2 linked regions of the Lonchura striata genome follow. Each later gene encodes a partner of the first gene's protein in a complex. Links are inferred from orthologs where the notes say so. Each region holds a gene or a part of one and is shown in the gene's direction. Other genes may lie near its edges.

Evidence for each region.
Region 2: INTS6 (region 1) and INTS9 share a complex: the UniProt entries of both Homo sapiens proteins name them as parts of the integrator complex. The link is inferred for Lonchura striata from reciprocal best matches to the Homo sapiens genes INTS6 and INTS9.

What each region holds. Positions count from the first base shown.
Region 1 is NC_134604.1:63,358,393-63,365,679, reverse strand, and holds the start of INTS6 (integrator complex subunit 6), read left to right. Parts: upstream 1-4,192; 5' UTR 4,193-4,245; intron 4,246-4,308; exon of another isoform or gene 4,309-4,556; 5' UTR 4,557-4,606; coding exon 4,607-4,717; intron 4,718-4,952; coding exon 4,953-5,030; intron 5,031-5,748; coding exon 5,749-5,898; intron 5,899-7,287. UniProt on the Homo sapiens protein: Component of the integrator complex, a multiprotein complex that terminates RNA polymerase II (Pol II) transcription in the promoter-proximal region of genes.
Region 2 is NC_134605.1:111,908,695-111,916,314, forward strand, and holds the start of INTS9 (integrator complex subunit 9), read left to right. Parts: upstream 1-4,603; 5' UTR 4,604-4,695; coding exon 4,696-4,704; intron 4,705-7,620. UniProt on the Homo sapiens protein: Component of the integrator complex, a multiprotein complex that terminates RNA polymerase II (Pol II) transcription in the promoter-proximal region of genes.

The sequences.
Region 1 (7,287 bases):
AGATTAATCAGTTCATCTTTGGTAAGAATTTCAGGAAGAGGGGAAAAAAAAAAATTAGGGTCAAACCCCCCTGCATTGAAACTAGTAAAAAACCCCTACAGGACAAAACAACCCCCCCCCCCAACAATACATGCTGTTATGTATGCAAGACAAGTAAGCAATAAAATTTTATTTGTATCAAAAAGCAAGTGAGTTCAATGTAGAGAACATGGCCAAAGGAAGACTAAAAAAAAGAAGACACAAATATTAAAAGATAAATTTAAACTCAGAATGCTGTATAAAGAAATATGTTTTAATGATATGCAGTAGAATTAAATTAAGGAAATGGAAAACATGACTGTTAAATATGGGGGGAAGTGTTTAATGACAATTGAAAAGGCTACAGAACTATATTCTAAAGGAAACTCCAAAAAATTTCCCTGTATCATTAGGACCCGGACTGATTAAGATCTGGAAATTTTCTTTGTGAAAATAATTCCATACAGAGGAAAAAGTCAATTAAAAAAAAAAAAGTTAAACTATCAGTTTTAGTTCTCAGACCTGCTTGAAGTTGATTAATGCAGCATCTTCCATTCAAGCATGAAGTTTAGGACGGGGGGTGAGGTTTAGGTATATTTTTACGCTTATATTTGATTTTCAGTTTATTGACTTAGCATTCAAATGTAAAGTAAATCTGCACCTTCAATACTACCTTATTTGTCCCCAAATGGGCAACACCAATTCTCTGAAGATGAGAAAACAAATATTCTTAGGCATACATATACATTCATGCTTCTTCATGGATGTACAAGAAATACAAACCTGTATGGAAGCAGGTGGAATCTTTTGGATCATGAGGACAGCAAGAGTACTTCTCCAGCCAGAATCTTGCTTAAATCATTCATCTTGACTCAGGAGAGAAGGTAGAACTGGCTCGCATGGGGCATCAGTTTGCCCAACATATTAAAAAAAGTTAAAAGAAAGATGCATCTATTTTCAGTGGCAGCCTCACTCTGTCTCTCTGCTCAGCTGTGTCAGCTCTGGCAGTAATGAGCATAAGCACTAATATCATTGGGGTTTGCTCCTTTGCAGCCATTCTCCCACATAGATTTATAAATGCAACTCTGATGGCAGTACTAGCCATTATGACTCTCACATCAAGAGACTGATGCACACTTAAGGCTTGGGTTGATTACCTGTCTTTGACAGATTCTTTCTCAGTATTAATCAAATTGGCCTGCTCCCAGCAGCAAAGTACCAACGCCTACCACAGACAACACACACCTGGCCGTGGTTCTGCCCTATAGCAGATCTAATATGGATCTAAGATGCATAGGAGTGGGAAGGACTGATTGCTCCAAATGGCCTCAAAGATAACAGCAAAAGGCATACAGAAAAGTACAGTGAATTAGCTTCCTTGTATGAATCCTACTGGAACTGTGTATAAGTTTTTTCTGTGGGATTCTTCCATCAGTGATAATTACTAGGGCTGAGGGAACTAGAGGTAGAGTGGGTCCAGCTACTTCAGTCTCACTTTTCTCTTGCATTGGCAAGATATTTACAGCATGCCTACAGCTTGCAGTTTTCTAAGTTGACTCAGAATCCATGCTGGTTTAGAACTACCACCATGAATGAACATGGCTTTTTCGCTGATCTCTCTTCATTTACTGGCAACAAAAAATAAAAATAACAAATGGCCTTTCAGGATTTAGGCAACATCTTCATGGTACAGGCTGCTTCCACCATGACATTTTCTTGATATGACAAGGACTCCAAAATGCCTATTTTCCAGCCCTTTGAAAAAGGAACCACTCCAGAAGTTTCCCATTTTTCAGACCATTCCCCAAGAATATGCATGATGTTTTACACATAGAAGTGATTATGATTTTATTAGGATGGTCAACATACAAATATGGCATGTCTGAACAATGTGCCTATCTCAGAAATTTAAAAGGCAGATAATTAAAGGCCATTATCATACCCTCAGTCAACATTACTCCCAAATAAAACTACTAATCCCAAGGCATGATTTGCTTAAGCAGCACTGCAGCCTACAACTTTAATCCCACCACCTTAGGGAGACAATTACTACTCTTCCAGCAACCAGTCTTGCTTAGGAGCTGTTCAAGATACCTTTAATTTTCTTTGGGGACCTGAGGGGACAGAAGGTGTCCCAAAATATCTCTGTGGAGAGAAAATGACTGTGAACCAAGCCTCTCTGATAGTCCAAATGTTTTACTGTGTAACAGGGACTGGCATGCAGCTGCATTGCCAGTAACCCAGCAAAAACCCTCTGTGGCACCTGTTGGTTTTCTCCCTCTGACAAGAGGGATTCAGATTAAACAGTAGAACCTGTACCAGAACAGCCTTGATGCAGGCCATGAGACCCAGTACCACTGCTAGAGGTCTAATAATGAACAGTTGGAAAGACACAAGCAGCTCAAGAGCCACTGGGTACACATGAGCTTGGCCACTCTCATCACCAGCAACATAATCCACAGTGAAAAATAATCATAGTAAAAGAAGTTACTGCCAAAGTTGCTGTATTTTGGACTGCACCAACTCCAAAGATTCCTTCCCAGCTCTCCCAGGGTCCTTAAGATGGGAGATATTTTAACGGCCTTGAATAGTAAACTGGGCTGAAAGGAAGTGTCCTTGATTTCACCCCAAAGCCTAAGAAAGGATGGCACAGGTCACAGGTGCAGCACCAACAGGAAAGCCAAAATAAGCTGCATGAAAGCATAAGAATGAATACCTATTTGCAATGGAAATGTGATTCTATCCCTCTCTCTTCCTAGAAATGCTAGTCTTCCGTTAGTCTTAAAAAGAAGGGAAAAAAAAAAAAAAGATAATAGAAAAGCCAAATCAAGTTCTTGCCTAACAAGACACAAATCTTGCCTGGAAGACCAAGATGAATTAAGCCAGAACACTGCTAATTTTGTCTTGGGAGAGGGTAGCAGCACAGCTGCTTTAAACCTTCTAGAGCAGTAGCTGAGGGAGCACATCAGCTGGATCAGGAAGGAAAAAAAAATCAGTCAGATAGGAAACAGAGCATTCTCCTGAACAGATTATGCTAAGAAATGGCTCTAGAGTTACTGCTCCAAGGCTGTGAGCATAAAGAGCAGACTCAATTGCTGCGGAAAAAAAACCCCAAACCCTAACAAATTGCCAAAAAACGAGAACAGAGATCTTTGCCTTTAATTGGTTAGGAACAGTCCATAATTACAAGATTTATAAGAAGTAAATTTGGAGTGTATTAGCATGGATGAAACCTCAGTATTAATCACTGCTCCTATGGAAGGAAAAAGGTCACAGCTAAGGCTAGCCAATTTTTTATCCCCTAAGGATCGAGTGAGAGGCCAGATCATGTCTTTGGGAATTCATCATCTAAATGGTACCAGACCGTCTTCTCCACCCTAAACCCAGTGGACAAGCCAGGCGACCCCCGTGCTGTCTGCCAGGAGCCGAAGTTCCCTTGAGGAGCGATCCCCCGCTCCCGCGGCGCCGGCGGGGCTCCGCGGACCGGAGGCACTGCCGAGCACCCGGCTGCTGCCCCGCTGTCCCGGAGCCCCAAGGCACTGCCCCGTCCCGCCCAGGGGCAGCACCCGCGGCGGGGGCAGCCGGGGACCTGCCGCAGCCCCAAGGAGACCGGCGGCGCCCGGAGACGGGGCGGGGGGCGGTGCCCGCCCTCTCCCCTCCCTCCTTCCTTCCCACCCCCGTGACTCACCCGCCGTTCCCGGCGGCGACAAGCCGCCAGCGCCGGAGTTACCGCCCCGGCGCTCCCCGGGGGACACCCCCGCCCTCCCCGAGCGGGCGGGTCGGGCAGGGCGCTGCTCCCGAGGGACGCGTCACCCCGCAGCCCTCGAAATAGCTCAGCGAGAGGGGCGGCGGCGTCAGATCCCTCTCCCCGCGGGTCCCTCCCGCGCTGCCCCTCCGCATGCCCGGCGCCCGCAGCGCACCCACGGGGCCGCGCACCAGCGCGCCCTGCCCCGTGTCCCCCGGCCGCCCCCCCGCCCGCGGCTGCGCCTGCGCGCCCCCGCCGGCTGCGGCCGCCCCGCCCCTCCGATTTGAATATGCTAATGAGCGGCTACAGGGTCCCTATGGTGGAGCTGGGAGACAGTCACGTGGGACGGGGACGTGTCCTTGGGGGCGGGGCCGACCTACCCAGGCTGCCTTAAAAGCGGGAGGCGAGCGAGGAAGCGCCTCAGTCAGAGCGAGAAAGTGCTGGGGTAGCGGGGCTGCGGCTGCTCCGCCTGAAACTTCTGAGTAACATCAACAGGGGGAGGGGAGGGCGGGCGGTGGAGGAGGAAGGTGGTGGTGGGGGGAAGGTTAGCCAGCAGCGCAGCCCTATCCGCCTCTCCCTCATAAACCAGCCTGTGTTGGGCTGAGCAGGCCCCTCACACAAAGGAGGGCAGGGCAGGCAGGGCTGCCCCCCCTTCCCCCCCGCCTCGGCAGAGGGGCAGCGGGGAGGCGCCCTTCCCCGTGCACAGCACTCACAGCCACTTACTCCTCTCCCGTCCCCCGTCTTCTCTCTCTCCCCTCCTTCCCCTCGCCTCCCCTGACGGTTCTCCCCTCAGCCCCCCGCCCGCTGTCCATGTAGCCGTCCGGCCGCCGGCCCCTCCGCACTATGCCCATCTTACTCTTCCTGATAGACACGTCCGCCTCCATGAACCAGCGCACCCATCTGGGCACCACCTATCTGGACATAGCCAAAGGCGCTGTAGAGACTTTCATGAAGGTACCGGGCTCTGCCTTGCGAGAGGAGGCGAGAGAAAGCGAGCGAGAGTGGCTGCGCGGGGAGGGGAGGGGGCGGCAGGGAGCGGGGGGCTGCCTGGGCCGGGGGCGCGGGGCGAGGGCGGGAGCGAGCGAGTGCGTGTGAGTGCGGGAGGGAGAGGAGGGCCGGGCCGAGCCGGGGGGCTCCGGCGGCGGCGCCGCCTCTCGGCTCACCCTCTGCTTTGTCCCCCGCGCCGCAGCTCCGAGCCCGGGACCCGGCCAGCAGGGGAGACAGGTACATGCTGGTCACTTTCGAGGAGCCTCCCTACGCTATCAAGGTAACCCCCGCTCACCCCCCTGCTCCCCGGCCTCCTTCCGGCCCGTCCGCCCCGCGCCCGCCTCGCCGCGGCTGCCGGCGGTCCGGGGGAGCGCGGCACACACGGGCTCCGGCGGCGGCGCTGACATCAACATGGCCGACGCTTTTCCCCTGTGCGGTGTGTGCGAGCAGCAATGAACTGTGGGGGATATGTATTCAAGTTGGGAGAAGTGACAGCAACTCCAAGGAGAGTTCGGCTTGGAAGGGGCGAGCCGGGAGAACGACCGACTTCAGCCCTGAGAGCCCCGGACTCGGAAGGGGACGGCACTTCCCTGGCCCCGCCGCGGCAGGGCGGGGGCGACGCGGGGGAAGGGGGCGGTGGGTCCACATGACACAGGACGGTGAACCTGTTGGAGGTCGCTTCACAGCGCAGTTGGCTTCCATCTGGGCAGGGCTCTGGGAAGGTGATGTATATAACTCTAAGGTTTGGGCACCGGTGTCCTCAGAGAACTGTCCTGTGGAACAAAGTGAAAATGCGCCTTTGGTAAATGGGAGTTCTGAGGATTAAGAGAAATGCATCATTTTAGGCTTTTTTGGAGCAACATCAAATACTACTAACTTCTGAGGTGTTTTGTTATCATTTGTAGTGAGCTGCATGCAGCAGGGAAGGCTCTTTGTAGCCTAACAAGAAAGCAAAACTTCTATCTGTGGAATAAATCTTTTCACGTTTCTCTTTGCAGGCTGGCTGGAAGGAAAACCATGCAACGTTTATGAATGAACTGAAAAACCTTCAAGCTGAAGGGCTTACGACTCTTGGCCAGTCCCTAAGGACAGCTTTTGATTTATTAAACTTAAATAGATTAGTAACTGGCATAGACAACTATGGGCAGGTAGGTTGACTGTTACTAGGTGGAAAAATCTTAAAACCAAACTTCCCAGAGACAGCAATTAGCTAGTTGTCCAAAGTGGCATATTCATGGAATATTCCATATGAGGCCAGCTTTTTAGTGTGATATAGCCTCCAAGTTGACCTTTTCAGTTCAAATTTTTCCTTTTTTTATTGAGTGTGTTCAGTACCTTAGCTGGTAAGCCTGATAGGGTTATGAAAACTTTGCTTTCTCTATACAGTGCTGAACAGTTTGGGAGATGAGCCTTTTTTCTAACAACACTGCATATCCAAAAGTACTGGAAGGAGCACTTTTTCAAAACACTGTCTTTCCAGTGAGTTTACCACAACATTTCTCTGCATATGTGTATTTTTATAAACCTGCCTGTTGTATCAGAGCCTCAAGAAGCTGTGCTTTTTAAATCTCGCTGTTGCAGCTATCCCTTTAAAACCGGAGTTGTTTGGTGTGAGCATTCTCATGCTCATGAGCTGCTAAAATACAGACATTATAGTTTAAACATATGCCTTAGGACTCATACAGAGTTCTTTCTGTTGCTGGATCCAAGCCTGGATTTGTTTCACATGAAGGATGTTACTAGTACTTTTCATGTGGGGCATACCAACTTGAATCTCTCTTTTTTGTTTGTTATTCTCATGTAATTCTTTGTCCACTATCTGAGGATTAATACTTAGTTCTGCTTTTGGTATTTGAGATGGGAATGTGGCTGTGAACACAAGTCCCCGTTTTTCCCCCACTATGTCCGGTCTAAGCAGGATTTATCATAACATACCACATGTGTTTATGAAGGAAATTTGTCATGCTGCATTATATGGCTTTACCATGAGATGATCAAGTGAGCCTAAGCACTTTTAAAATGCCTGTTCAGTGATGAAACTTTGAAAAAGGGCTAGTTCCACACATGGGATTTTTTCCTGTGACCATCTGATGTCTTTATACATCTGTGTGTAATTTTCCCATTTTTCTGGTGTTTTCCTTTAGCTACAAGTGCTTTATTAATCTTTCTTGAACACTTAACCCATGTAGGTCCCTACACAAAATACTGCTTTTTCCCATTGCTACTGATAATTACTCTAATTAAACCTATGTCAAATAATTTGCTCTAAGTGAACCAGCTGTGCTCAGCTACTCAAGTGGGCAGTTGAGTTGTCATGATTATTTTGACTCACTAGTAGTGTTTATTACTGCGATAGCTGCTCTTTTGCCTGTGAAGCAAAGACTTCTTCTTTGTCTGATCTGTTCTGATTGTAAGTCTCTCTGGGCTTGAACCCACTGTCACTTAAGCATGTTTTTGCTCCATTCCACATGTGGAGCTGGCTTTTGAAGAGGTATTCACAATGTGCAGTCAGGTGACTAAATAGAAATTCTTTTTAG
Region 2 (7,620 bases), on another chromosome or scaffold:
AACTGATTAAAGCCCTGACAAACCCTTGAGATCACAGACTGATTGCGAGTTCTGCTGCGGACTCCCTGTAGGAACCTGGGCAAGTTGATCCCTCTACACCTTTGTTTGCCACCTGCGAGAGGAAAAATAGCACTTTCTTTTCATATCCTGTCATTCTTGCTTGCATTGTTCCCCAAATTAAAAGCATTTGTCAAAACACTTATCTTTAGCATTAACCCTGGGAATTGCATTCACAGCTACCACACAACCCGTTTGCATGACTGAGTGCTCAGACACAAACTCTTAGTACACTTTGTTACCCAGCCATCCTAATTTAATACAAATCAGAAGGGAGCTTTAGTCAATACAGGAATATTAGAATGCTAAAATATAGTTTATTACTAATCCTACAAATAAAACCAGCTTTAGGGTTACGAGTTACACTGACCCCCTCCTGGAAAAAAAAATCAAATTCTCCTCATTATGTCCTAAAAATCCTGCTGTAATCACAGTATTGGTCTCACTGCATTGATAACCCACCAGATCATATTATCAGCATAGGTATAATTAAAGCCCAATCCCATGAGGACATGTATGCAGAATCCAATCCCCGCTCTGTTAAAATCAGCATAATGTGAAATAAACTTCAGGGACTTTAGAATCAAAGCTGCATGAAGTTATCGACAGGAGGAACAAAGACATCTGTCTTTTTGCAGTGAGATTCTTAAGCTGACATTATTTTGATTTCAAATTCTAAAACTTTGCAGATGAAAAAGATTTGCTACAGATGCCAATACTGTAGCCTGTCATTCTGTAATGTCCTTAAAAGCTCTGCACAGAAATTGCTGTGAAGTACAAGTTGCTTTCTTTAGATTAAAATGTGCTGCTGTTTCCTGAAAATTCATTTGGTTTCTAACATATACAACCAAATACCTTCCCCAATCCCTTGGTACAAGGAACAGTACAGCTTCCTCCTTTCTCATGGTTCAGTTTCATTAATTTTCCCAATTCTCCACCCAAAGACCCAAATTTCACCCCTGCCCCACTGACACACAACACAAAATGAGCAATCCCAAAAGTGAACGACAGAACAATTCTTGACAGTCACGCTTAAAAAAAATACATTTTATTAAAAAGTAAATTAGTATTAAAAACAAATTTCAGAGCCTCACTCTTCCCAAATCCAGACAGCAATGAAAAAACATACCAAACACTCCCATGAACCTATGGATTCATCACTATAAAGTAAACACTTTATAATAATTTAATTTTCAAAACACTGCACAGCTATCAACTTTTAATATCCCTTTGTAAGAGATCAGTAAGACCCACACAGAAACTGCCTTAAAAATAAGCTCCCTGCAGCTGACAGCAGCTACAGACTCCATGGAATTATCAGAATCACAATGCTAGAGAGATGCATGTTGTCCAGAAAGGTCAATAAACCCACGGAGTTTCTTGACACCGCTCAGTGAAGCAGTTGTAGAGAAAACCAGGCCTCATTCACACAAGATTTTCTCCCAGGTTTCCTTACCCCTCCTTAAAAATCCTGCTGTTTCACCTAGGATAGCATTCCTGTAACCCAGCTGGCAGCCTGCATACCACAACGTCGTCTAGACCTGCTGGGAACAGTGGGATGACACAGGAGTAAAAATGCTGATGCCTGTTCTGGTGCTTGCACTGGTGCTGAGGGAACGAGGGGAGGAAGAACAGGCAGCACGGAGTGAAACACAAGTTCCTTGCTCCCAGCCTCCTTCCCAGGCTCCTCGGGTAATTCTTTCAACCAGACAGAAAAAGTTGTGGCCATCACAGGGCTAAAAGAATAATCCTCACATAAGGGAAAAAACATTCCCAAACCCCAGTTTTCACATACAGAAACAAACCCTGCTCTTTCCCAGACATGCAAATAACAAATGCATCCCTGCACAGACGTTTTCCATCCCTTTCCTCCCTCTCCCCCGTCTCCATCTCAGAGATGTTTTCTTAGCAATTTGGAAGAGAAATGGTAAAAAGGGAGATGCGAAACACAGAAATAAATTAAGTTTGTTCTCTGCTGTTGACGGATTTGGTCTTAGCACGATGGGAGGAAAAAAAATATTAGGAGTGATAAATCCATATATACCTACTCCAAACTACACCCTGCTTCCCAAGGGACACGGTATAATGGTAAATAAGTATAGATGCAGTTCCTACTAATGAGGCAGGGTACAGCAAGGCCAAAGAAAATGCAATCATCTCGGGGAAAAAAAAACTGCACAGGACTCCTCCTTTCCCATCCACGGAGGAAATCAAATGCCAGCTGCACCATCCCAGGAAGGAAGCAGAGCCTGTACCTGATGAGCCCTGCAGAAATGAGCGAGTCATATCACGGGACCAGAGCAGGCACTTCAGGCTTTCACCAGCCCAACAATTGTCTGCAGAGCACAATTCCTAGCTCCGGTATTTTACATGGCATCATTTATACAAATTGCAGGGGTATTTTTCCCCAGTGTTTTAGTTTTTCATTCCCTCTATCTCCACTAGTTAGAAGCAGGGGACGTAAGTAGCGTCTCCCAGATCCGCGTTCCCTGGCCATCACTTTAACGCTTTCCTCCCTACAAAGTTTAAATCTCCCCGGTTTTTTGTTCATAAACGTTTTGTACTTAAAAGCCATCGAATCACACTCCCAGAGTTACCTGAACTGAGACAGACCCGACTCCACAAACATGCTTAAACCTTCATTTCCTCTTCCTTCTTCCTTCCCCACCCCCCAAACAGCATTTTTTTTTTGTCCCTAACACGAAAGAACTGGGGGAAAAAACAGCACGTCCAACCGAGGCTTTTCCAGACCTATCTCAAAGAACAAAATGATTCCGAAGGAGTGCTCTGCAAACATACCAAGAGGCACTCCACCAACTAGGGAAAAAAAAAAAAATGAAAGGAAAAAGAAGAAAGAAAGGAAAGAACCCATCAGACAAAACTGAGGTCGAGGAACTCGGCGGGGTCTGGCTCGGGTGTGTATTCGGCACCTAAACATACTCGCATCTTGTTTTGTTTTAACCCCGAAGCTGAGGCAAACACTCCAGCAGAATTTCCTGCCGCTTCCCCCCGACCGCTCCTGCGGTCAAACCGTGCTGACCCAAAACCATCCCGGACACGGGACACAAAACCATTCACCCGCCACCCCCGTTCCCCACCTCTTCCCAAGAAGTACAAAACAAACAAGCGTCTGACACCCCACCCAAGTTCTCCTCGCACATTTTGGGAATGACTTTCCTCCGGGTGCTCCTCCTCCCCCACCCGTTCCCACGTTAAACTCTCCGGCACACAGACACCTTTCGGGGGTTTCACGCCTTTGCCCTCCCAGAAAACCTCCCGAAGCCTGGGAACGGCAGGGTTTGGGGCACCTCTGAGCCCCGTTCCCCGACCTCCAGCGGCACAAAGCTCCCGAAAAGCAGCCGAAAAGGAGCCCCCGGAGCCCTCGAACAGCCCCAGCCAGGGCAGAGCTCCCCGGCAGAGCGAGGGGGCTCCGTAGCCGGCTCCATCCCCGATCGGAGCCTCCCTCCTTCCCCTGCCGTCCCCGGGGGTCCCCGGGACAGACAGCGCCGGGGGTCGCACCAGCTCACCCCAAAACTCCGCGGCGAGCAACACCCGAACAAACACCCCCAAAACCGCAGCACCCACCCAGGCTGAGGGGGCTCCGCGGCCGCCACTCCGTGCCCCACACCGGGGAGATGGGAGGAATCGGAATAGATATACAAATGGCAGGAGCAGCGAACCCCAAAGGCGCCCTGCCCTCCCGCTGCAGCCTCCTGGGGACACCTTCCTCCTCCTCCTCCTCCTCCCCCGATCCGGGGCACCCGCGGAGCCCCCCAAAAGCCGCGGCTCCAACTCTGCCGCCCGTGCTGAGGGGCTGCCCCTGCCCACCCCTGCCCGCCCCCGGCTGCCCCCCTCACGCACATCCCGCTCTCCGGCTCGGCGCGACTCCCGGCGGTGCGGGCGGAGGGGAGACCCCTTCCCGCTGCCCTGCCTCCCTCCAGCCCACCCACCCGCCCGCCCCCTCCCCTCGCCGCCGCCGCCGCTCCCCCCCCGTATCCCCCCGCGACACTCACCTCTGGGTGCTGCCGGCGCCTCCGCCTCACCATGGACCGGCGGAACTGGGGGGGTCCCCCCGCCCGCCCCCGCCCCAGATTGAGGGGAGATTAACGGGGGGCGCGGAGGGACGAGAACAATAGGGGGGAGGAAATCCCTCAGCCCCCCCACGCCCCCCGAGGACACAGCCCCCTCCCCGCCCGGCGCTCCTCCTGCCGCTCCCTCCTCCTCGCCCGCTCCCTCTCTTTTTTTTTGGGCTTTTTTTTTTTTTTTTTTGGCTCAATCACACCAGACCGACTGTCTTTGTCTGTCTGACAAGCGCCATGTTGATATCAACATCCGAGCCCCCACCTGCTGCAGCTGTGAGACCCTGGGACTTGTAGTTCCCCCCTCCCCAGGGTGACGGGGAGACCCGCGGCGCCGGGACTACAACTCCCAGAGAGCCGCGGGCGCGCGGCGCGCCAATGGGGCGGCGGGGCTGCGCTCGGGGCGGACTACAACTCCCAGCAGGCGTCGGGCGGCCATGACGTTATCTGAGAACGATGGGGAGGCGGGACTACAACTCCCATGATGCCCCGGGGCCGGCGGGGCGGGCGGGCAGGAAGGCGGGCAGGGTTGTCCCGGTAAATAGAACCGGTGGACGCGATGAAGCTGGTGAGTGCCCGGGGCGGGCGGCCATGAGGGCGGGGAGGGGGCTCGGCCTTCCCCCGGCGGCGGGGGGGGCGCTCCCCCGGTCGCCTCCTGGCTGCGCAGTCTCAGCCTCGCCGGGCGTGAGGGGAAACTGAGGCGCTGGAGTGGGGCCTGAGGGAAAAGGTGGGGGAGGAGATGCTGAGGGAGTTGGGGGGACTGAGGGATAAGGGGGTGATAGTGGGGCGGGGAGGGGCTGAGGGAGGGGCGGGGGTCGGCCCTGAGGTGTGGGGGAAGGCGGGGGTCGGCCCTGAGTGGGGAGGGTAAGGGGGGGGGGGGGGCGTTGCCCAAGTTTAAGGTGTTGGATAGGATCAAATCTTAGTAAGAGGAGGAGAAAATGTTTCTCAGCCTTCCCAGCCTTAAACATGAGTCTGGTTCGGAGCTGTCCCCTTGCACGTGTGGCTTCTGCTGGACTCTGCGAGGAACGTGAATAAATGCCTGTGGTTTGTGATGAAGACGTTTTCCATCTGCAGTGTGATAATACAGGGAGGTACTAACGACAACAACAAAAAAAATCAGCCTGGAACAGCTTTGCTAAGGGTGCACCTTGCTTCTGACAGGGGTTTTGGTTCTGATATTACAGTCTTCTGTCAGAATGTACATGACCCATGATATTGGTCTCCTCTCTTGAGCTGTTTCACATTCTTGGAGACCTTGGATTCAGGAGCCGATTTTTTTTCCAGGAAGAATTTCAGTTACACATAATGTGCTGCACTTCTTGGTCTGGAGGTGAAAACCCAAGCAGTTTTCAACATACCTGAGCACAACACTTGATTTATTTAATCTGAAGCGACACCATTACTCAATTTAAGATTGTCTCTTGGTTTTGAGACTGAGCAGTGTGTTATAACAAAGCTTCATAGAAGTAAATGTTCTGGTTTAAGACCTTTAGGAAACCACTCTCCGTGGAAGTGTGTACAATTAATTCCAGAGGCAGGTGGTCAAGGAGTTTGATCCTGCTTAATCTTACCTGTGTGATAAGGATCTGTGCAGGGATGGCTATTACCAGTGGGACAAAAACTGCAAAGTCAAGCACCCCTGGATGTGATTGTAGAGGCTGATAGAATTCAGTGGAAGAAAGCAAACTGGGAAATCTTTATTTAAAGACCCCACTGTAAATGGAGAGCTCTTCTAATGTTGAGAGTCTTGCATAGGGGTAGAGAGGGGAAATACAAACTCTGGAGTCTGTATTGCAACATTTTTAGCATTGTTTTTAAATTCAGGTACTGAGAATTATAAGACAAGGTATTTTACCTTATATTTTTCTGGAGATGTGTCTGAATTTGGGGTTGTGAGGAGACAAGTCCTCTTTTTTATCCTCTCTTTATCCTCTTTTCTCATAGATTTGGGTTGAATTTGGAAGAACAGGGTAGAGGTGAGGGACTAGTGGAATGTTCCCTGTCCATGGCAGAGGGGTTGGGATAAGATGAGCTTCAAGGTCCCTTCTAACCCAAACCATTCTGGGATTCTGATTGCAGATCTGATTCAGAATCTGGTGAAAACCTCAGACTCCCACAAACTCAAATGTGCTTTCACTCAGGCAATCCTCAGTGCTCATTTCCCCCCAGATTTTAAGCTGGCATGTGATACTAATACTGGAGGAATGCACTGCAGGATTTGTTTGCTTCACTTGGAGTTCCAAGCACTGCCTTTAACCTGCACAACTCTGAATGTTTTGGAGCTGCAAGTTTGAGCCACCATCTCTCTGCTCTCCATGAGATGCACATGGAATGGGATGTGTGTGGAGAACCTGCCCCTCCCAGGCCCTGAGCATCTGGAACCAGCCCCTCAACCACTGCCCCACTGCCAAACTTTCATCCAATTTGCAAATCCTGCCAGGAAAGCTGTGAGCTGGGTATATTTATGCCTTTTACGTATTTTGTGTCTTTTTTTAACTTTTGGAGTTAGGAGATGAGGCACCTTTGTGTGTTGGCTGCACCAGCCTTTAGCCATAAGGGAATCAAGCTAGAAGCAAGCAAATCTTGGAATAAAAAACTTGCATTTTAATCCAGTCAGGAATATGAAAGCTCTGGATCTGTTTTAAATAGTAACAAGTATAAACTGTGTGGAAATTATCACATTTATAATGTGTATAGAGACACACATTGTGCAAACACTTCCATTCCTGGATTCCTGATCCAAAAGTCTAACAGGGGTGCAGGCCCAGCAATGTCACTTGTGCAAACAGCTGTATAGAAAATACAAATTGCCTTTTTTATTTTTCTGTCACTGTCTTTGAATCTGGTAGAAAGAATCCATTGACTCCCAGGAATCCATTTGCCTCAGCAGACAGCCACGGAGAGAGATGACTTTAGCTGCTTTTAAAGAAGGAAAAAAGAAAGATTTTCCAGTTAGGTCATAGATGTCAGGGTAGTAATACTACTCATGATTACAAAAAAAGGCAAGAAAATATTTTGCTGATAAAAGTGGTGATATTTCATTGCCTTTTTTAATTACCAATAGTTTAAAAGCTACAAAAATAGAACTTATTTTTCCCTTCATTTCTTTCTATTTACTTCAATTTATAGCTTCATTTGTCAAAGTTCTGGTCTGGTGAGAACTTAATTTCACATGAGAGTGTTACATTTGTGAATAAACCAAGTGAATTCCTCACTCCTTCAGCAGCTTGGCTTTACATATTTTTTTAAACTTTACTAAAAGACAAAATGTAATGTAACTCCTTAATAATTAAGGCTTTGTGAATTTAAAGCAAAACTCTCTGTGATATTTTGAATTTAATATTTGAGGCTTAGTCAGTTTTACTATTTAAATAGAGTTTAAAGCAGGTTTTTGAGGAATGTATGTAAATAGACTTCTTGAGGGTTGTTAATCCAGACAGTTGCAGTCCTGTGTTAACATTATTGTGACCAGAGGTAGAAAATG